2 linked regions of the Astyanax mexicanus genome follow. The protein of the gene in region 1 interacts with the protein of each later gene in a pairwise test. Links are inferred from orthologs where the notes say so. Each region holds a gene or a part of one and is shown on either strand. Other genes may lie near its edges.

Region 1 (11,358 bases):
TTCTCAAAGTATTTTTTTTATCTTTATTTAGTTGAGTAGTTGTTTCTTCTCATAATCTGGATTCGAACATCACTCAAATATTCACTATTCACTGTATACCTGTAACTCTACCTCTTCACTACTTTACTTTAACTGATGCTCTCAAACACTTTATTAAGAGACAAGAAATTCAAGTAATTAACTCTTGATGAGTTCAGCACAGCTGTTAACTGAAAGCCTGAATTCCAGGAGACTCTACCTCATAAAACTGACTGAGAAAATCCAGCAGAGATGTTCAAAACTGATCATCTAAACAAGAGGAGATAGATTTAGTAAATCATTCTATATATTGTTCTTCATAGTTTGGATGAGTTTAGTATTAATCTACAGTGCAAAACATGTTAATATAATGAAAACACTGAATTTAAGGTGTTTAAACTTTGGACTGGTACTGTAGAAACTTAGAAAAGTACTGATATATAGTTATATATTTAGTTATATATTCTATAGTGTTAATTCTGTTTACCTGGAGCTTCCCAGTCCAGAGACTCGGTCCACACTGCGCTCCTCAGCGTCTCCGTCCCTCCGGCAGACCTCCGCCAGATCCTGCAGAACCACAACCAGAATCAGAACCACTGAGCCCAGAGCGTATACAGTATACGACAGCAGAGTTTATATAAACACAAACCTCTTTAGTGACTCCGGCCGGCCGTCTCTGCACTGTTTTATGACCCCTAAACACAAACACACACAAATAACACTCAGACAATACATACTGCAGGATATATACACCATGAAATATATACTTACAGCCCTTTAATAATAATTATTAATAAATTATACTGTTTAATAAATATATATTATACGTTTTGATAAAACACCTCCCTAAATATCTCAATACAGATACTGAAACGATACCACGTCAACCACCTTAAACATCAGAAATAAATAAAATAATAGAAGATCTGATGTGAAACTAAAAAAAAAATTAAATAAAAGAAACAAAAAAGCAGAAAAGTTTAATAATGTGATTATGTTTATTCATAATTTCAAGGAGGAAAATAATATGTTTATGGAATTTATTTTATAATCACTTAATCTTTGTATTTGCAACCAGATCTCACAGATTAATGTTTTTAATAATACTCAATATTCAACACTCGTTTGGGGCAAAGGTTTGGATTCATACTGATCATTTTTCTGTGGTTCAATTGACTCAATCTTTAAAAAAAAAAAAAAAAAAAACGAGAAAAACTTATAATAAAATAAAAAAATAAAAAAAAAAACTAAATATGTTAGTACAGATTCTATAACAATACCACAGCAAAACCTAAAACCTAAAGAAAAGCTACAAAATGATGTTTAAATATTTGTCGATTACTGTGGTTTGATTCATTTAATAATAAGTCATTTAAAAGCAAAAACACATTAAAACGTTCAAAATCTGCTGATATTATCGTAATTATCATGTGAGCCATTTTTGTACGCTTTAAGGCTTTGAGGAACTTTTACACGATAAGTGATCGTGGAAGATGAGTGAATCGGTTCAGGAATCGAAAGCAGATTGGAATCAATGATTCAGAACATTGTTTATGAGCCCATGTGTTTATATGAGGCTCTGATCTGGTGTAAATCTAAACTCAGCCGTAGGGAAACTCAGAGACGACACAGAGCTCTCCTCAGACACTGGATTATACTACAGAACTGAAAACTAAAGAGAAATAAAGCAGGAAACCAGCTACAGTGGATTAATCACAGATCCTCACCTGAGAAAATGTTCATTTTACTCAAATATAAACCTATAAATAGTAAAATCAGAGAAAGTGATACAGAAACTGAAGAAGTGCTCTCTTCATTTATTACAGAGCTGTATGTTGAACATATTAGTGTATGTGTGTGTGTGTGTGTGTTAATAATCAGACTGATGAGAGTAATTAGTCTGATCTCTGATGGAGGTGTGGGTGAGGGACGTACAGCGCTGCCATCATGGCCTCTCTCTCCGCCTCTCGCACGGCCGCCAGCTCCTGCTCTCGCGACACTCTCTCTCCCTGCTTATCTTTCGCGTACCAGGTCAGGTCCCGCCCCTTCTGCCAGCGGCCAACCGGGGCCATGAGGGAGTTCCCTACAATAACAACAACAACAAACACACACACCAGCGTCAAAACAGCAAAATATAAACAAAACAAGAAACTAAATATTTTATATAATAATATGAATATATAAACAAACTGTACAATTACTTACTATCTAAAATTTTACATTATTATCTGTAGTTTTAAAAAAATCACACCATTTTTAACGTAATTACATTGGATCAGGATCAATATGTGTTTACATTCAGCATTAAAAAACTCTTAGAATTAATCAGTATTCAGATAGTCAGACTGATGTAATGTTCTTTAGGATTAGGATTAGGCCAGTACTCAGTATTTTAGCACGAGGATGAATATCTGTATGGGGAAATACAGTATTTACCTTAATCAAAAATTGCAAAAACAAGACCTTAAAACCACCTGAATCCGTTTTCCAAAGGTCTTAAAGGATGCAGACAAGGAGAAACACACTATGAAGTGGTTTTTGGTTGCAGTGAAACATGATAATGAGTACAAACGTATGTCAAATAGCCCACCTCCATTCTCCCCTCAGCATTCCCAAATACAGCACTTTTAGCCGATGCTGCCAACAGCTTTACAACGCTATTAAGATTCTACCAATGAAGTGTGGAGATACTTAAAGCTTGATAACAGTGCAAAAATAGCCATTTCTTTGCATGATAACTCTATGCCCCCATTACTAGCATTGTGAGACTGTTGGGAGCATCAGCTAAGAGTGCTGTATTTGGGAATTCTTGGGGAAAACGGAGGTTGGCTATTCCACAAAAGTCCTTTAATGTCTGTGGCATTTTAAGACATTTTAAGGTCTTGTTTTTAGATAAATGAATGTAATGGTTTGTAAGGATCTGCAGATACCCTGTATACTGTTAATATCAAAATTGGAATTATATTGTATTGATCAAAATACAGACAAAGATCTGGAGATGCTGGACAACTTAATGATGTAATTGATGGAAGCAGGAATTCTGCTGTTTATCAGAAAATCCTGAAGGAGAATCAGAATCCTCCATCTGTTCCTTAGTGATCCTCAAGCTCAGGAGTACTTGGATTCTGCAGCAGGACAATGACCCAAAGCACACAAACAACAGGTTCACTGTCTCTGAATGGGTTAAAAACTAAATGAAGGTTTTGGAGGGTCTAGTTAAAGTCTAATTGATTGAGATGCTGTGGATGATCTTAAACAGGACTTTTATGCTGGAAAATTTTCCAATGTGTCTGAATTAAAACTGTAATTCTGTAAAGAAGAGTGGAACTAAAACTAAAGCTAAAGAGTCAGGGTGGTCTGGGTCATTTTTTCCCTTAATAAATGAAATTATAATTTAAAAAGTGCTTTTTATATTTACTCAGGTTATTTTTTACCTGATATTAAATGTGTTTGTTAATCTGATAATGTAAGCATGATTAAAGAGTATGGTGCCCCCTGCTCCCCCCTCCCCTCAGGGATCTGCTGTTAGATCAGCAGAGCTGGATAGAAGTTAAAAGTCCGGAGAGGAGGAGCAGCACAGCTCCACCAAACCTGAACCAGAACCTGAACCAGAACCACCAGAACCAGAACCGAACCGGAACCGGGCTGTGGAATGAGAGAGAAGCCCGGGGGAGCAGGTAAACTCCGGATTATTACAGATTAAACTGGATTATTATATTAAAACTCCACACTTTCACTTTCTGACAGAGACAGCAGGAGTCTCCTACATCCGGGACTTTCACCACTTTATCAACACTGTTCACTTATTAAACTATAAAATAAGTTTTAATATTAATTTTACGAATTTTAAAGCTTTTAAACTTTAATCTTAGATTAATCTGCTCTAACTGGAGCTCAGTGAGTTGATGGCTATGCTAAAATAGGCTAGGCTAGGCTATGCTAGGCTAGCTAACATGCAACATGCTGTACCAGCAGCTGCTACAGTGTGCAGAACTATGCTAAGCTAAAATAAGCTAAAGCTAGGCTAGCCCATGCTAAGCTAAACTAAAGCTAAAGCCAGGTTATGTTAGCCGTTAGCCGGGTCCTCACCCAGGTAGTTCTCCCGGTGTTTATCCGCTTTAACATCGTCCCAGTTGAACTGGTCCTGTCCGCCGCGCACTCCTCCGGACCGGGACGAGCCGAACATGCTGGTTCTGGAGAGTTCTGCCGGGTTCGGTTCGGGTTTAGCCCGCTAGCGCTCCGGATCCGGACCGTGTGTCCGCGGAGCTGCACTTCACACAGCCGCCGCTAGCTGGAGCCGCAGCGCTTTACATCCGGGTACTCTGAGGGAGCGAGGGAACAAGGGGGCAACGAAGTGCGCACTTCCCTCCAATCCACACTTACTTACTTATTTACTTACTTATTTATTTACTTATTTATTTTAAACTTAAAGTTTTAAACTGAATTCATAATATTTTGTAAGCAAGGCTGCACCACTTAGACTCACTATATTAGGCAATGTCTATCATTTATATATATATATATATATATATATATATATATATATATATATATATATATATATATATATATTATTATTATAAGTAAGTAACATAAATTATAAAAAGAAACATATAACAGGAAGGTTAAGGTCATGTATATTTATTGTACAATAAATCAATTTATTATCGCGACAGGCTATACTGTTTATAAATTTAAATATATTAATAAACAAATAGGCATGTTATGATGATTATCGGCTTATCGTACAATAAAGGTTCATGACCTCAGTAATGGTGATAACTGCAGAAATGAATGTTTTATTTTTTAATTTTCAATATATAGAATCTCAGTAGTATGGAAGCCCATTCCCGCCACCTAAAAAATAAAAATACTCCAGCATTTTTTTTTTATTATTATTAAGTAAATTGCTATCTCAATATTTTGAGATACTAAGTCAATATTTTGAGATACTATCTCAATATTTTGAGATACTAAGTCAATATTTTGAGATACTATCTCAATATTTTGAGATACTAAGTCAATATTTTGAGATACTAAGTCAATATTTTGAGATACTAAGTCAATATTTTGAGATACTATCTCAATATTTTGAGATACTAAGTCAATATTTTGAGATACTAAGTCAATATTTTGAGATACTATCTCAATATTTTGAGATACTAAGTCAATATTTTGAGATAGTATCTCAATATTTTGAGATACTAAGTCAATATTTTGAGATACTAAGTCAATATTTTGAGATACTATCTCAATATTTTGAGATACTATCTCAATATTTTGAGATACTAAGTCAATATTTTGAGATAGTATCTCAATATTTTGAGATACTAAGTCAATATTTTGAGATACTAAGTCAATATTTTGAGATACTATCTCAATATTTTGAGATACTAAGTCAATATTTTGAGATAGTATCTCAATATTTTGAGATACTAAGTCAATATTTTGAGATACTAAGTCAATATTTTGAGATAGCAAGTGTGTTTGCTTTTGTAAAGAAAAAAAAAAAACGTTTTTTTTCCTCCAGTGAAGCCTACCTACCATATATAACATACAGCATAGTCGGAGCCACAGCCACACTCTTTAACACGCTAAAATAGTCCAGTGTGTTATTAAATGAATCTCAGCAACCAGTCACATCTGAATCGGATCTCCGTCTGCATACATGTGAGTTTGGTGGCAATTTTAGCACAGTATTTGTGCTGGGTCATGGGCATTAAAAAGCACGATTGTATGGAAGCCCATTCCCGCCACCTAAAAAATAAAAATACTCCAGCAATTTTTTTTTATTATTATTAAGTAAATTGCTATCTCAATATTTTGAGATACTAAGTCAATATTTTGAGATACTATCTCAATATTTTGAGATACTAAGTCAATATTTTGAGATACTAAGTCAATATTTTGAGATACTAAGTCAATATTTTGAGATACTAAGTCAATATTTTGAGATACTATCTCAATATTTTGAGATACTAAGTCAATATTTTGAGATAGTATCTCAATATTTTGAGATACTAAGTCAATATTTTGAGATACTAAGTCAATATTTTGAGATACTATCTCAATATTTTGAGATACTAAGTCAATATTTTGAGATAGTATCTCAATATTTTGAGATACTAAGTCAATATTTTGAGATACTAAGTCAATATTTTGAGATACTAAGTCAATATTTTGAGATAGCAAGTGTGTTTGCTTTTGTAAAGAAAAAAAAAAAACGTTTTTTTTCCTCCAGTGAAGCCTACCTACCATATATAACATACAGCATAGTCGGAGCCACAGCCACACTCTTTAACACGCTAAAATAGTCCAGTGTGTTATTAAATGAATCTCAGCAACCAGTCACATCTGAATCGGATCTCCGTCTGCATACATGTGAGTTTGGTGGCAATTTTAGCACAGTATTTGTGCTGGGTCATGGGCATTAAAAAGCACGATTGTATGGAAGCCCATTCCCGCCACCTAAAAAATAAAAATACTCCAGCAATTTTTTTTTATTATTATTAAGTAAATTGCTATCTCAATATTTTGAGATACTAAGTCAATATTTTGAGATACTATCTCAATATTTTGAGATACTAAGTCAATATTTTGAGATACTAAGTCAATATTTTGAGATACTAAGTCAATATTTTGAGATACTATCTCAATATTTTGAGATACTAAGTCAATATTTTGAGATACTAAGTCAATATTTTGAGATACTAAGTCAATATTTTGAGATACCTTAAATGCTGGCTGAATATACATGCGGCCACCTGTAGATAATGACCTGGGAATTAGGCCAAAAGTGAGAGCAATAACGTTTTAATTCATATTTAATTTTATTTACATTATATTTCACTCAGAGTTAAACTCTGTCCCTCGCATTGTGTTCTCCCCTTTATTCAGAGCGTTTTCACAGCACTTTGCTTACATGCTGTTTTTTACTGTTAAAATGCGACATCTACAGGCGGCCGCATGTATGTTCAGCCAGTATTTAAGGTGGAACGGAAATCTGAATAAGACACTGGCGAATAAGAAGCTAACTTCAGCCTCGTCCAAGATCCGGAGGCTTATTTTGATATTGTGTGATTCCTCTAAAAGTTCCAATATTTCATGATTTGTGAATCCACGTCTGAAGTAGTCCTCAATGATGGTATCCATTTTGCATCTTTGTCTCACCTGCTTCTGTCTCTGTACAGCCTAGTATCTCAAAATATTGAGATAGTATCTCAAAATATTGACTTAGTATCTCAAAATATTGAGATACTATCTCAAAATATTGAGATAGTATCTCAAAATATTGACTTAGTATCTCAAAATATTGACTTAGTATCTCAAAATATTGACTTAGTATCTCAAAATATTGAGATAGTATCTCAAAATATTGAGATAGTATCTCAAAATATTGAGATAGTATCTCAAAATATTGACTTAGTATCTCAAAATATTGACTTAGTATCTCAAAATATTGACTTAGTATCTCAAAATATTGACTTAGTATCTCAAAATATTGAGATAGTATCTCAAAATATTGAGATAGCAGTTTACTTAATAATAATAAAAAAACATTTTGCTGGATTATTTATTTTTTTTAGGTGGCGGGAATGGGCTTCCATAGAGTAGATGTGACAGTGATTTACAGAATTTTCCTTAACTTCCTTTCCTTAGATAAAGCGCGCTTCAGTTTTGCACACTACTTAGGTGCCCTACTTAGACCCCGAGTGCGTGTGATGGAGCGCGCCCGGGCTGAGTGGGCGGGTTTAGCTATGCGGGGTATTGTTCGGAGGGTGCGGGGCGGTGCGGGAGGCGCGCGGCGGCTGCGGGGAGTTACACACGCTTCCGGGCCGGTGACGTCGGTAATGGCGCTCGCGGAGGAGAGCGAGCGGTAGAGAGAGGAGCTCGCGCTGCTGCTGGAGGAGCCTGATGTTCCTCAGAACCCTCTGCAGAACCTTCTCAGGTCAGAACCTCATCAGAACCTCATCTAAAGGGAGGAAGGGTAGTTCTCCCACTCTTCCGCAGGGCTTTTAAATGGGGGTAGTTTAACTACACTGAGGAGGTATTTTAAATCTATATACATATGATGACGTTACGTTTATATTTATACACACCGTGGAGCTCCCTTACTATTAGTGCTCATTCCACCTTAAATCATTCCACCTTAACAGTTTCATTCAAAATACCGGGGTATCACCAGTTGGCAGTATATAGTCTCAAGGTCTGTTTGTATGTAGTGTTGAGGTCTGTGTGTATACAATCTTGTGTATATAGTCTTAAGGTCTGTGTGTATATAGTGTTGATGTCTGTGCACATGTAATCTTGAGGTCTTTGTGTATAAAATCTTGTATATAGTGTTGAGGTTAGTGTATATAATCTTGAGGTCTGTGTGTATATATTGTTGAAGTTAGTGTATATATTTGTGAGGTTTTTGTGTATATAGTTTTGTGGTTGGTGTATATAATCTTATAAATAGTCATGAGGTTAGTGTATATACTGTTTAGGTTTGTGTATATAGTGTTGAGGTCTGTGTGTATATAGTCTTATATAATATTGACGTTCGTGTATATAGTCTTGTATATAGTGTTGAGGTCTGTAGACCTGAAGTTGATGCATATAATGTTGAGGTTAGTGTATATAGTCTTGTAAGTTTTCTTGAGGTCAGTGTATATAGTGTTGTTGTAAGTAGTCTTTAGGTCAGTGTATAGCCTTGTGGCTGCAGTGTATATGAGATATAGTCTCATGGCTTAGTTACTGTGTATATTATCATTAGTATATGTCAGTGTATAGTCTTGTGTTTGTAGTGTATAGCCTGTGGTCTCAGTTCTAGTCTCATGGCTTGATTGTATATAGTTTTGATGTATATTTGGGTTATATACAGGTAGACACTCTGACTGATCACTGATAGTATATTTGTGTTTATGTGTATAATTGTGTGTATAGCTTCGTACGTACGGTTTATCTGAAGTGTAAAGTGCTGGATTTGGTCTTTGTGTCGCAGTTCAGGGTTAATTACAGTGTAATTACTGAGAGTAGTGTGGAGCTGCAGTGTGCTGTAAATTACACTAATCTAATAGTGAACTAACTCATCTCACATGCAGCCTCACCAGACCCCTTATTACACCCACCCGCTACTGATTACTGCTGTATACTCACCACATCCTGCCTATCACTAATATTACACTTATACACCACATCCTGCCTATCACTAATATTACACTTATACACCACTTCCTGCCTATCACTAATATTACACTTATACACCACATTCTGCCTATCACTAATATTACACTTATACACCACTTCCTGCCTATCACTAATATTACACTTATACACCACATCCTGCCTATCACTAATATTACACTTATACACCACATCCTGCCTATCACTAATATTACACTTATACACCACATCCTGCCTATCACTAATATTACACTTATACACCACATCCTGCCTATCACTAATATTACACTTATACACCACATCCTGCCTATCACTAATATTACACTTATACACCACTTCCTGCCTATCACTAATATTACACTAACCCACCACATCCTGCCTATCACTAATATTACACTTATACACCACTTCCTGCCTATCACTAATATTACACTAACCCACCACATCCTACCTATCACTAATATTACACTTATACACCACATTCTGCCTATCACTAATATTACACTAACCCACCACATCCTGCCTATCACTAATATTACACTTATACACCACATCCTACCTATCACTAATATTACACTTATACACCACATCCTGCCTATCACTAATATTACACTTATACACCACATCCTACCTATCACTAATATTACACTTATACACCACATCCTGCCTATCACTAATATTACACTTATACACCACTTCCTGCCTATCACTAATATTACACTAACCCACCACATCCTGCCTATCACTAATATTACACTTATACACCACATCCTGCCTATCACTAATATTACACTTATACACCACTTCCTGCCTATCACTAATATTACACTAACCCACCACATCCTACCTATCACTAATATTACACTTATACACCACATTCTGCCTATCACTAATATTACACTAACCCACCACATCCTGCCTATCACTAATATTACACTTATACACCACATCCTACCTATCACTAATATTACACTTATACACCACATTCTGCCTATCACTAATATTACACTTATACACCACTTCCTGCCTATCACTAATATTACACTTATACACCACTTCCTGCCTATCACTAATATTACACTTATACACCACATCCTGCCTATCACTAATATTACTGTTATGTGTGAAAATATTCTGTTTATTTCTTAAAATACTGAATAATCTACATGTAATTTACTCTATATAACATTAGAATAATTGAGTATCTGCATATATGCTGTTCATATACATATGCCTGCTGACTGTGCTGCTCTGATTGGCTGTTTGATGTTGATTGAGCGTGTACTCAGTGATATAATTAGAGTATAATTAGAGTATTGATCGATGTGATTGATTAATTAGTATCTGTGGGCTGGTTCTGGGTGTTCTAAAGCTCTATAACAGTAGTAAATATGTGATAGTGTCTGAGCTCTGGTTCTATTTATATAGCGCGGTTCTGAGCTCTGGTTCTGAGTTCTGAGCTCTGGTTCTGAGTTCTGAGCTCTGGTTCTGAGCTCTGGTTCTGAGTTCTGAGCTCTGGTTCTGAGCTCTGGTTCTGAGCTCTGAGCTCTGGTTCTGAGCTCTGGTTCTGAGCGCCGGTTCTGAGTTCTGAGCTCTGGTTCTATTTATATAGCGCGGTTCTGAGCTCTGGTTCTGAGTTCTGAGCTCTGGTTCTGAGCTCTGGTTCTGAGCTCTGGTTCTGAGTTCTGAGCTCTGGTTCTGAGCTCTGGTTCTGAGCTCTGAGCTCTGGTTCTGAGCTCTGGTTCTGAGCTCTGGTTCTGAGTTCTGAGCTCTGGTTCTGAGCTCTGGTTCTGAGCTCTGGTTCTGAGTTTTGAGCTCTGGTTCTGAGCTCTGGTTCTGAGCTCTGAGCTCTGGTTCTGAGCTCTGGTTCTGAGTTCTGAGCTCTGGTTCTGAGCTCTGGTTCTGAGCTCTGAGCTCTGGTTCTGAGCTCTGGTTCTGAGCTCTGGTTCTGAGCTCTGGTTCTGAGTTCTGAGCTCTGGTTCTGAGCTCTGGTTCTGAGCTCTGAGCTCTGGTTCTGAGCTCTGGTTCTGAGCTCTGGTTCTGAGTTCTGAGCTCTGGTTCTGAGCTCTGGTTCTGAGCTCTGGTTCTGAGTTCTGAGCTCTGGTTCTGAGCTCTGGTTCTGAGCTCTGAGCTCTGGTTCTGAGCTCTGGTTCTGAGCTCTGGTTCTGAGCT
Region 2 (10,734 bases), on another chromosome or scaffold:
GGAGTGTCTGGATTTGCTGGCTGTTAATTGCGTGAATATATTTTTCAGCACTGTCCTGAGTCCATCTGGGAGGTAGTTTAAATTTGAAAAGTTTGCAGGGATTTTGCCAATTATCATTCCCAACTGGTTTGTTTAGATATACAGTAATTTGGCTGTGATCAGAGAGAGGTGTCAGTGGCTTGACTGTGAAGGCTCTCAGGAAGGTTGTGTCCAGATCTGTTATTATATAATCTACAACACTGTTGCCAAGAGCTGAGCAGTGTGTGAACTTACCGAAGGAGTCCCCTCGCATTCGTCCATTCACAATGTACAGGCCCAGGCTTCGACAGAGCTGCAGTAGGTTTCTTCCATGTGAATTTACTGATTTATCGCAGTTTTCTCTGGGGGAGTGAGTACCAAAATGTATATCATCTCCTGTAATGAAATGATCTCCTTTTGTGCTGATAAAGTCAGGTTGCTCTCCTGTTCGAGCGTTTAAGTCCCCACAGATCATTACATGGCCTTGAGTTTGGAAATGACTAATTTCGCTTTCTAAATTTTGGAAGGTTTCTTCTTTAAAATAGGGGGATTCTGCTGGGGGGATGTATATTGCACAAATAAATAAATTTTGGGGGGTTGAAATTGCCTGTTTGTTAAGTTTTATCCACAAATAATCTTCTCCTTTTTTTACTATTTCTATAGAATTTGTTAGTTCTGATTTAAACCAAATAAGCATTCCCCCCGAGTCCCTACCCTGAGAAACGCCTGTTAACTTGGTGGAAGGAATAACCAATTCTCTGTGGTCTGGAGGACAACCAGTGGGACCGTCTCCTTTACACCATGTCTCCTGCAGTACCAAAATATCAATATCCTTAATTTCATTTATAAATTCAGGGTTTCTGCTTTTTAAATTAAAAAGAGAAGAGTTCAAACCCTGAATGTTCCAAACTGAAATTTGAAATGATGCCATTCTTAATGAAATAAAAGGTATGCTATTCTAATCATAGACCATGTCCCATCAGACGTGTGCAGATGTGACTGAGCATCTGCTGTATGTCTCTGAGTTCGGACACATTAGCGCTTGCTGTTCCTCTGACGACCTGAGCGTAGGTCAGGGGTCCAGGCCTGGTCTGGAGCTGCTGGGTAGTTGATGGTGGGACTGGTGCATGGGGGGAACCTGTGGTGTGTGCTGGTGCTGTTGTATGTGCAGGAACAGGGTTCCTCTGGATTCTCCTCTGCATGCCTGGCTGTGGTGGGTGATGGTAGGTGTGGTGCTGAGGTGTCTGATGGGGGGCTTGTGATGCTCCTCCTCCAGGTCTTGGGGTGTGTTGTGATGACCGTGTTCTCTTGAGGTTTTGTTCAGCAGTGTACTGGATAGCCCTGCGGGTCAGTGCAATGTCCTTCAGCGTTTTTGCAAATGTAGGCACTACATTTTTAAAAAGGTGGACGTGATCATAGAGGCAGGTGGTATCCAGAGTCGGGTGATGGGCCAGGTGGGTGTTTGGCCGGAGAGCACATTCCCTGGAGATGCTGGCGTTGATTTTCTGGATGGTGTAAGGGTGAAAATCTTTGCGAGGCAGCAGTGTTGAGATGATAATTTTTGAATTAGAGAAGGTGTTGTTGGCCTTCTCGATTACTGCTCTCAGGGAGGTGGCCACTCTCTCTTGCTGACTCCGGAGGTCGTTTGTCCCGGTGTGGATTATAATGTGGGTCGGTGACCCTAGTTTTTCTTCTGTGAGGAGCTCCAGTGCTTTTTTAGTGGTTGGGCACCAGAGTTTTACCACTCTGTGTTTGGGAAATAGTTTTTTCTCATTAATGAATTTCCCGTTGGAATCGATTAACAGAGCAATGTCACATTGCCCTGGATTTCCCTCCTCTCTCTCAGTTTCCTGGATGTTGGACTCCACATGTGCTTGCTGACTGGGTGGAGTCTGCTGAGAACTGGTGACTGGAGCAAGTGAAGGCTGTTGAGAGTCGATGGTTGGAGCAAGTGGAGGTGGTTGAGAGTTGGTGGAGGTTGAGGGTGAGGGCTGAAGTTGGGTGGTTTGAGCTGATGGAGGGCTCTGATGTTGACTGAAGGAGAGCAGCTGTTGTGTCAGACTCTGTACTGTGCTGTCTCTCTGCTTTAGCTCCTCTCTCAATGCAGACATCTCCTTTCTGTAGGTGTGTCTGTCCTCCTCTATGATCATTTTTAGATCTTTAACTTGTTCTCTCAGTGCTGTCAACTCTTTTTCGGAGCTGTCCTTGTCCAGCTTTGGTTGATTGTAAGACTGCTGCTTTAGGACCATCTCTCTGAGTTGTACTAACTCGATTTCTAAGCGTGTAAAGTGCTCTTTCATTGAGGTGATGGAGGTGTAAAGTGAAGTCTGCTGGTTCTGTTCTGTGTCCTCCTGCTCCTGAGCTGGGGGCTCTGGGGGGTCTGTTGTAGTGTTCTGTAGATCTGCCTTGTCTTCCTGCAGTGTGTTTACAGTGAACTTTTCTTTCTTTGCAATTTCTTTAAGATTATTAAAAGAGTCCTGGAACACACTGGGGTTTCCCTGCACCATGACAGTACCATTTTTATAAATGTTCACTGTGGCCATAATTGTCTCTGTGTCTGTTGGGTCCTTTATTTTTATTTTCCACCCATTACAGATCCCTTCTTTTTTCACAGAGGAGTAGTGACTTAGCAGAGCTTTATGCCATGAGCTGGGGTGTTCTGAATAAAAGATAAGATTGCTGACTTCCCCAGTCTTATAAAAATCAGCAAACAGAGTTTCAGGATTCTCCTTTAGCAGATTCTGTTTAAACTGTTTCCTGGCCGTTTCACTTTTCAGTTCAGGAGGGTAAATGACAGGGCAGTACTGTACTGGGCCACAGAGTTGATCCACATCCTCCACAGGGCAGAGAGGGACAGGGGACAGTTCTGATTGGCTCATCCTGGACACCTTATATGGGTAACTGATGGCTCGGAATGTTGAGGGGTTTTGATTGTCAACCCTCCAACTGTCACTTTAGCTTTAGCATTTAGCTCATATTCATAGCTAAAACGCTTAAATATAGTATTTCTTCCTCTTATTTTCAATGTTTTTAGTGAAAATGTCACTCACAGTACTGCAGATGCTGTTTGTTGAAAGTTCTGATAGAGATGTATGTTCCTCTCAGTTTCTCCCTCCTGTAGTGATCTCTCTCTCTCCCTGCTCTGCTTTGCCTGAAGGTGAAGTCTCTTCTTGTTTTGATTCAATATCTTTCAAATATCTTATTGAATTTCTTGATTTCTGTCCTAAATATTTTACTTTTTACTTGAATTTACGTTATCCAAGTATTATTACAGATTTTCTTAATGTTTCTCTCACTTTAAAACAAAAAAAAAGAGAAAAATCTGGGAGCTCACACAGATATGACTTATCCTTAGAACCTCTATACCTCTCTCTCTCTCTCTCTCTCTGTGTTTAGGAGTGAAGCTCTCTCTCACTCACTCTCTATCTCTCTCTCTCTCTCTCTCACTCTATCTCTCTCTCTCACTCTCTCACTCTATCTCTCTCTCTCTCTCTCTCTCTCTCACTCTATCTCTCTCTCTCACTCTCTCACTCTATCTCTCTCTCTCTCTCTCTCACTCTATCTCTCTCTCTCACTCTCTCACTCTATCTCTCTCTCTCTCTCTCTCTCTCTCACTCTATCTCTCTCTCTCACTCTCTCACTCTATCTCTCTCTCTCTCTCTCTCTCTCTCTCACTCACTCTCTATCTCTCTCTCTCACTCTCTCTCTCTCTCTCTCTCTCACTCTATCTCTCTCTCTCACTCTCTCTCTCTCTCTCTCTCTCACTCTATCTCTCTCTCTCACTCTCTCACTCTATCTCTCTCTCTCTCTCTCTCTCTCTCTCTCTCTCTCTCACTCACTCTCTATCTCTCTCTCTCACTCTCTCTCTCTATCTCTCTCTCTCACTCTCTCTCTCTATCTCTCTCTCTCACTCACTCTCTATCTCTCTCTCTCACTCTCTCTCTCTATCTCTCTCTCTCTCTCTCTCTCTCTCACTCACTCTCTATCTCTCTCACTCTCTCTCTCTCTCTATCTCTCTCTCTCACTCACTCTCTATCTCTCTCACTCTCTCTCTCTCTCTATCTCTCTCTCTCTCTCTCTCTCTCTCACTCACTCTCTATCTCTCTCTCTCACTCTCTCTCTCTATCTCTCTCTCTCTCTCTCTCTCACTCACTCTCTATCTCTCTCTCTCACTCTCTCTCTCTATCTCTCTCTCTCACTCAAATTCAAATTCAAATTCAAATTGGCTTTATTAGCATGACTGTTTTAAAAAAAAACAATGTTGCCAAAGCACACAAATATCACAACCGAACCTATAGTGAAACAACGATGAAACATAAACATCAATTAATTAAAGAAAGAATAATAATAATAATAATAATAATAATAATAAAAATAATAATAAAAAAATCACAATAATAATAATAACAACAATGATGATAATAGTAAAAACAACAATAATAATAACAATAGTAATAATAAAAAAATTATAGTGATTATAATGATCAAGTATAATAATATTAACAGTTGTTTATTAGGGGAGGTAGTTATTAGGGGAGTTACTAACAACTCTCTCACTCTCTCTCTCTATCTCTCTCTCTCACTCTCTCACTCTCTCTCTCTCTCTCTCTCTCTCTCTCTTCCTTTACAAAATACAGGATTTTAGTTCCGACAAGATAGGTGTTCCTAATGATCTGGCAATTAAGTAAAAGCACAAGGTGATAGGTGTTCCTAATAAAGTGGCAAATAAATGGAAACTCAAATTGGTAGGTGTTTCTAATTAACTGGATTAACTGGCCAGTGGTGGGACTAGGAGGTTGTTTTGGTGTTTCTAATAAAGTGGCAAATAAGTGGAAATAAGTGTTACGTGTTCCTAATGATCTAATAAGTAGTGAGACCAGATGGTACTTCATTGTTTCTATTAAACTGGCCAGAGATAATAAGCAGAAGGTGGTAGTAGGTGTTCCTAATGATCTGGCTAGTTGTTGAACTAGGAGGTACTTGGGTGTTTCTAATAAAGTGGCCAGTGAGGGGAGGGGGTAGTGGCAGGTGGTTTGGGGGGGGGGGGGGGGGTGGTGCAAAGGATCTAAGAGAGATACACAATAGAAAAAGGTCAGTGTGTGTGTGTGTGTAGAGTGTGTGTGTGCGCAGGTGCAGTTGGGGGGGGGGGGGGGTATTGTGGGTAATGTTCCGTCTGCTGCCCCCCCTCAGCTCTATTGTTATGCTGATTAAGGGAAGAGGATAAGAAAGAGAGAGATAAACTACAACAAAGAGTTTTAGAAAAAAGCACTTTAAATAAAGAATAATCACTGTAATGTGTTATATTATATTTTATATTATATTATATATTATTTCCGAATTTAAAGATAAACGGACTAATAGAAATGTTCAGAAATTAATTGGTCGGAATTAAATCTTCCTACATTTGCTTCCATTAAAAGATAAGAAGTTTTTTTGTTCTCCTGAAAAACTTATTCTAAATAAAATAATAAGAGTAAAGAATATCACAGTTTGCCAGACACATGTAAACAATAAACGGGCTGTGTCCCAATCCCCCACCTGCTCACTATATAGTGCACATGTGCTGTTCTGCCTGTGTGTAGTGATGTAGTGAGTAAACTGGGTTTAGATACTCACTGATGTAGAGACCTGGAGTCTGAGGAGAAACGAACAGAGAGAGAGAGAGAGAGAGAGAGAGAGAGAGAGAGAGAGAGAGAGAGAGAGAGAGAGAGAGAGAACTATACAAAGAGAGATATACAAATAGAAAGAGAGAGACAGAGAGATATACTGAGAGAGACACTGTGTGTATTTGTGTTTATGTGTGTGTGTGTGTGTGTGTGTGTGTGTGTGTGTGTATAATGTGTGTATAGTGTGTGTGTGTGTATAAAAAAGTGTGTGTGTGTGTGTGTGTGTGTGTCTGACCCCACCTCCTTTTCTACGTCACTGGCTGCTCCTGACAAAACCAGCCTCCATCAGCTGGACCCCCCCACACACACACACACTCTCCCGCGCGCGCACTGCCCGCAACAGCTTACACAGCACGCGCGCTCACACTATCTCTCTCTCTCACACACACACACACAATACACACACACACACACAGAGTCGCGCGCGCTCAGTAGGAGCAGCAGTAGGAGGCACGTGCTGCTGGGCTTCAGCACCGGGACAGCTCCCGTGCGCGCGCTCTAGTCCCCCGTGCTCCGGTCCGCCGTTGCCCCCTGCGCGCGGGCGCGGGGCTGTTGCCATGGCCACCGTGCTGCAGGGTCAGAAGCAGCTCCTGGAGAAGTTTTGGAGAGGCGCGTGCAGAGCCGTAACCACGCCCCGCCCGGAGAGCGTCATCATCGCCAGCATCGCCGCGCGCAGAGCGCTCAGCAGCAGCAGCGCGTGAGTTCAGCACCTCTCACCTTACCTACAACCTGCGCGCGCGCGCGCGAGTGTGTGTGTGTGTGTGTGTATTTCGTGATGATCGCTACCGGCTGCGTCTGGTTCCAATTGTCTTTGTGAAAAACGCTCAGCAACATGCGTTCTTTAGGTTCCATGGGGCATGGCAAAAATCATGGGACCCCATACTATTCCCTGTCCCAATACTTTTGCCATTTCACACACAATGGTATTGTTGGACTACAGTGTTTTGGACTGGACCGGTACCAGGTTCTGATATTGAACAAACATTTATACCATTTCATCCTAATATACCCTTAATACACCATAAACAGCTCTATAAAAAGTGAAAAGATCACTTCAGTTTCTGAATCAGTTTCTCTGATTTAGCTATTTATAGGTTTATGTTTGAGTAAAATGAACATTGTTGTTTTATTCTATAAACTACAGACAACATTTCTCCCAAATTACAAATAAAAATATTCTCATTTAGAGCATTTATTTACAGAAAATGAGAAATGACTGAAATAACAAAAAAGATGCAGAACTTTCAGACCTCAAATAATGCAAAGAAAACAAGTTCATATTCATAAAGTTTTACGTTTTTCTCTCTCTTTTAAGTTTTAAGAGTTCAGAAATAATCAATATTTGGTGGAATAATCCTGGTTTTTAATCACAGTTTTTTCATGCATCTTGGCATCATGTTCTTCTCCACCAGTCTTACACACTGCTTTTGGATAACTTTATGCTGCTTTACTCCTGGTGTAAAAATTCAAGCAGTTCAGTTTGGTTTGATGAGCTGTACATGGCCAAAAGTATTAAGACTCCTGCTGCTCCAGCTTCCCAATACTTGTATGTTGGATGATGTTGGATGATGCTGGATGATGCTGGATGATGCTGGATAATGTTGGATGATGTTGGATGATGTTGGATGATGCTGGATGATGTTGGATGGTGCTGGATGATGTTTTGGATGATGTTGGATGATGCTGGATAATGTTGGATGATGTTGGATGATGTTGGATGATGCTGGATGATGTTGGATGGTGCTGGATGATGTTGGATGATGTTGGATGATGCTGGATGATGTTGGATGGTGCTGGATGATGTTTTGGATGATGTTGGATGATGCTGGATAATGTTGGATGATGTTGGATGATGCTGGATGATGTTGGATGATGCTGGGTGATGTTGGATGATGCTGGATGGTGCTGGATGATGTTTTGGATGATGTTGGATGATGCTGGATAATGTTGGATGATGTTGGATGGTGCTGGATGATGTTTTGGATGATGTTGGATGATGCTGGATAATGTTGGATGATGTTGGATGATGTTGGATGATGCTGGATGATGTTGGATGGTGCTGGATGATGTTGGATGATGTTGGATGATGCTGGATGATGTTGGATGGTGCTGGATGATGTTTTGGATGATGTTGGATGATGCTGGATGATGTTGGATGGTGCTGGATGATGTTTTGGATGATGTTGGATGATGCTGGATAATGTTGGATGATGTTGGATGATGCTGGATGATGTTGGATGATGCTGGGTGATGTTGGATGATGCTGGATGGTGCTGGATGATGTTTTGGATGATGTTGGATGATGCTGGATAATGTTGGATGATGTTGGATGATGCTGGATGATGTTGGATGATGTTGGATGATGTTGGATGATGCTGGGTGATGTTGGATGATGCTGGATGGTGCTGGATGATGTTTTGGATGATGTTGGATGATGTTGGATGATGCTGGGTGATGTTGGATGATGTTGGATGATGCTGGATGATGTTGGATGGTGCTGGATGATGTTTTGGATGATGTTGGATTATGTTGGATGATGCTGGATGATGCTGGATGATGTTGAATGATGATGGATGATGCTGGATAATGTTGGATGATGCTGGATGATGTTTTGGATTATGTTGGATGATGCTGGATAATGTTGGATGATGTTGGATGATGTTGGATGATGCTGGATGATGTTGGATGGTGCTGGATGATGTTGGATGATGTTGGATGATGTTGGATGATGTTGGATGATGCTGGATGATGTTGGATGGTGCTGGATGATGTTTTGGATGATGTTGGATGATGCTGGATAATGTTGGATGATGCTGGATGATGTTGGATGATGCTGGATGATGTTGGATGGTGCTGGATGATGTTTTGGATGATGTTGGATGATGCTGGATGATGTTGGATGGTGCTGGATGATGTTTTGGATGATGTTGGATGATGCTGGATAATGTTGGATGATGTTGGATGATGCTGGATGATGTTGGATGATGTTGGATGATGTTGGATGATGCTGGATGGTGCTGGATGATGTTTTGGATGATGTTGGATGATGCTGGATAATGTTGGATGATGTTGGATGATGTTGGATGATGCTGGATGATGTTGGATGATGTTGGATGATGTTGGATGATGCTGGATGATGTTGGATGATGCTGGATGATGTTGGATGGTGCTGGATGATGTTTTGGATGATGGTGGATGATGCTGGATGATGTTGGATGGTGCTGGATGATGTTTTGGATGATGTTGGATGATGCTGGATAATGTTGGATAATGTTGGATGATGCTGGATGATGTTGGATGATGTTGGATGATGTTGGATGATGTTGGATGATGCTGGATGGTGCTGGATGATGTTTTGGATGATGTTGGATGATGCTGGATAATGTTGGATGATGTTGGATGATGCTGGATGATGTTGGATGATGTTGGATGATGCTGGATGATGTTGGATGATGTTGGATGATGTTGGATGATGTTGGATGGTGCTGGATGATGTTTTGGATGATGTTGGATGATGCTGGATAATGTTGGATGATGTTGGATGATGCTGGATGATGTTGGATGATGTTGGATGATGTTGGATGATGCTGGATGGTGCTGGATGATGTTTTGGATGATGTTGGATGATGCTGGATAATGTTGGATGATGTTGGATGATGTTGGATGATGCTGGATGATGTTGGATGATGTTGGATGATGTTGGATGATGCTGGATGATGTTGGATGATGCTGGATGATGTTGGATGGTGCTGGATGATGTTTTGGATGATGGTGGATGATGCTGGATGATGTTGGATGGTGCTGGATGATGTTTTGGATGATGTTGGATGATGCTGGATAATGTTGGATAATGTTGGATGATGCTGGATGATGTTGGATGATGTTGGATGATGTTGGATGATGTTGGATGATGCTGGATGGTGCTGGATGATGTTTTGGATGATGTTGGATGATGCTGGATAATGTTGGATGATGTTGGATGATGCTGGATGATGTTGGATGATGTTGGATGATGCTGGATGATGTTGGATGATGTTGGATGATGTTGGATGATGTTGGATGATGTTGGATGGTGCTGGATGATGTTTTGGATGATGTTGGATGATGCTGGATAATGTTGGATGATGTTGGATGATGCTGGATGATGTTGGATGATGTTGGATGATGTTGGATGATGCTGGATGGTGCTGGATGATGTTTTGGATGATGTTGGATGATGCTGGATAATGTTGGATGATGTTGGATGATGTTGGATGATGCTGGATGATGTTGGATGATGTTGGATGATGTTGGATGATGCTGGATGATGTTGGATGATGCTGGATGATGTTGGATGGTGCTGGATGATGTTTTGGATGATGTTGGATGATGCTGGATGATGTTGGATGGTGCTGGATGATGTTTTGGATGATGTTGGATGATGCTGGATAATGTTGGATGATGTTGGATGATGCTGGATGATGTTGGATGATGTTGGATGATGTTGGATGATGTTGGATGATGCTGGATGGTGCTGGATGATGTTTTGGATGATGTTGGATGATGCTGGATAATGTTGGATGATGTTGGATGATGTTGGATGATGCTGGATGATGTTGGATGATGTTGGATGATGTTGGATGATGCTGGATGATGTTGGATGATGCTGGATGATGTTGGATGATGCTGGATGATGTTGGATGGTGCTGGATGATGTTTTGGATGATGTTGGATGATGCTGGATGATGTTGGATGGTGCTGGATGATGTTTTGGATGATGTTGGATGATGCTGGATAATGTTGGATGATGTTGGATGATGCTGGATGATGTTGGATGATGTTGGATGATGTTGGATGATGCTGGGTGATGTTGGATGATGCTGGATGGTGCTGGATGATGTTTTGGATGATGTTGGATGATGCTGGATAATGTTGGATGATGTTGGATGATGCTGGATGATGTTGGATGATGTTGGATGATGTTGGATGATGCTGGGTGATGTTGGATGATGCTGGATGGTGCTGGATGATGTTTTGGATGATGTTGGATGATGCTGGATTATGTTGGATG

What was found. The genes of interacting proteins can lie anywhere in the genome.
Region 2: the proteins of c8h1orf35 (region 1) and srrm4 interact in binary tests that used the Homo sapiens proteins (3 or more experiments, as listed by UniProt). The link is inferred for Astyanax mexicanus from reciprocal best matches to the Homo sapiens genes C1orf35 and SRRM4.

The regions. Positions count from the first base shown.
Region 1 is NC_064415.1:653,183-664,540, reverse strand, and holds the start of c8h1orf35 (multiple myeloma tumor-associated protein 2), read right to left. Parts: upstream 4,336-11,358; 5' UTR 4,205-4,335; coding exon 4,108-4,204; intron 3,696-4,107; coding exon of another isoform or gene 3,671-3,695; exon of another isoform or gene 3,546-3,670; intron 2,102-3,545; coding exon 1,954-2,101; intron 714-1,953; coding exon 668-713; intron 586-667; coding exon 506-585; intron 1-505. Other genes in the region: guk1a (guanylate kinase), read left to right, coding at 7,933-7,966.
Region 2 is NC_064429.1:38,526,166-38,536,899, forward strand, and holds the start of srrm4 (serine/arginine repetitive matrix protein 4), read left to right. Parts: upstream 1-5,989; 5' UTR 5,990-6,241; coding exon 6,242-6,381; intron 6,382-10,734. UniProt on the Homo sapiens protein: Splicing factor specifically required for neural cell differentiation.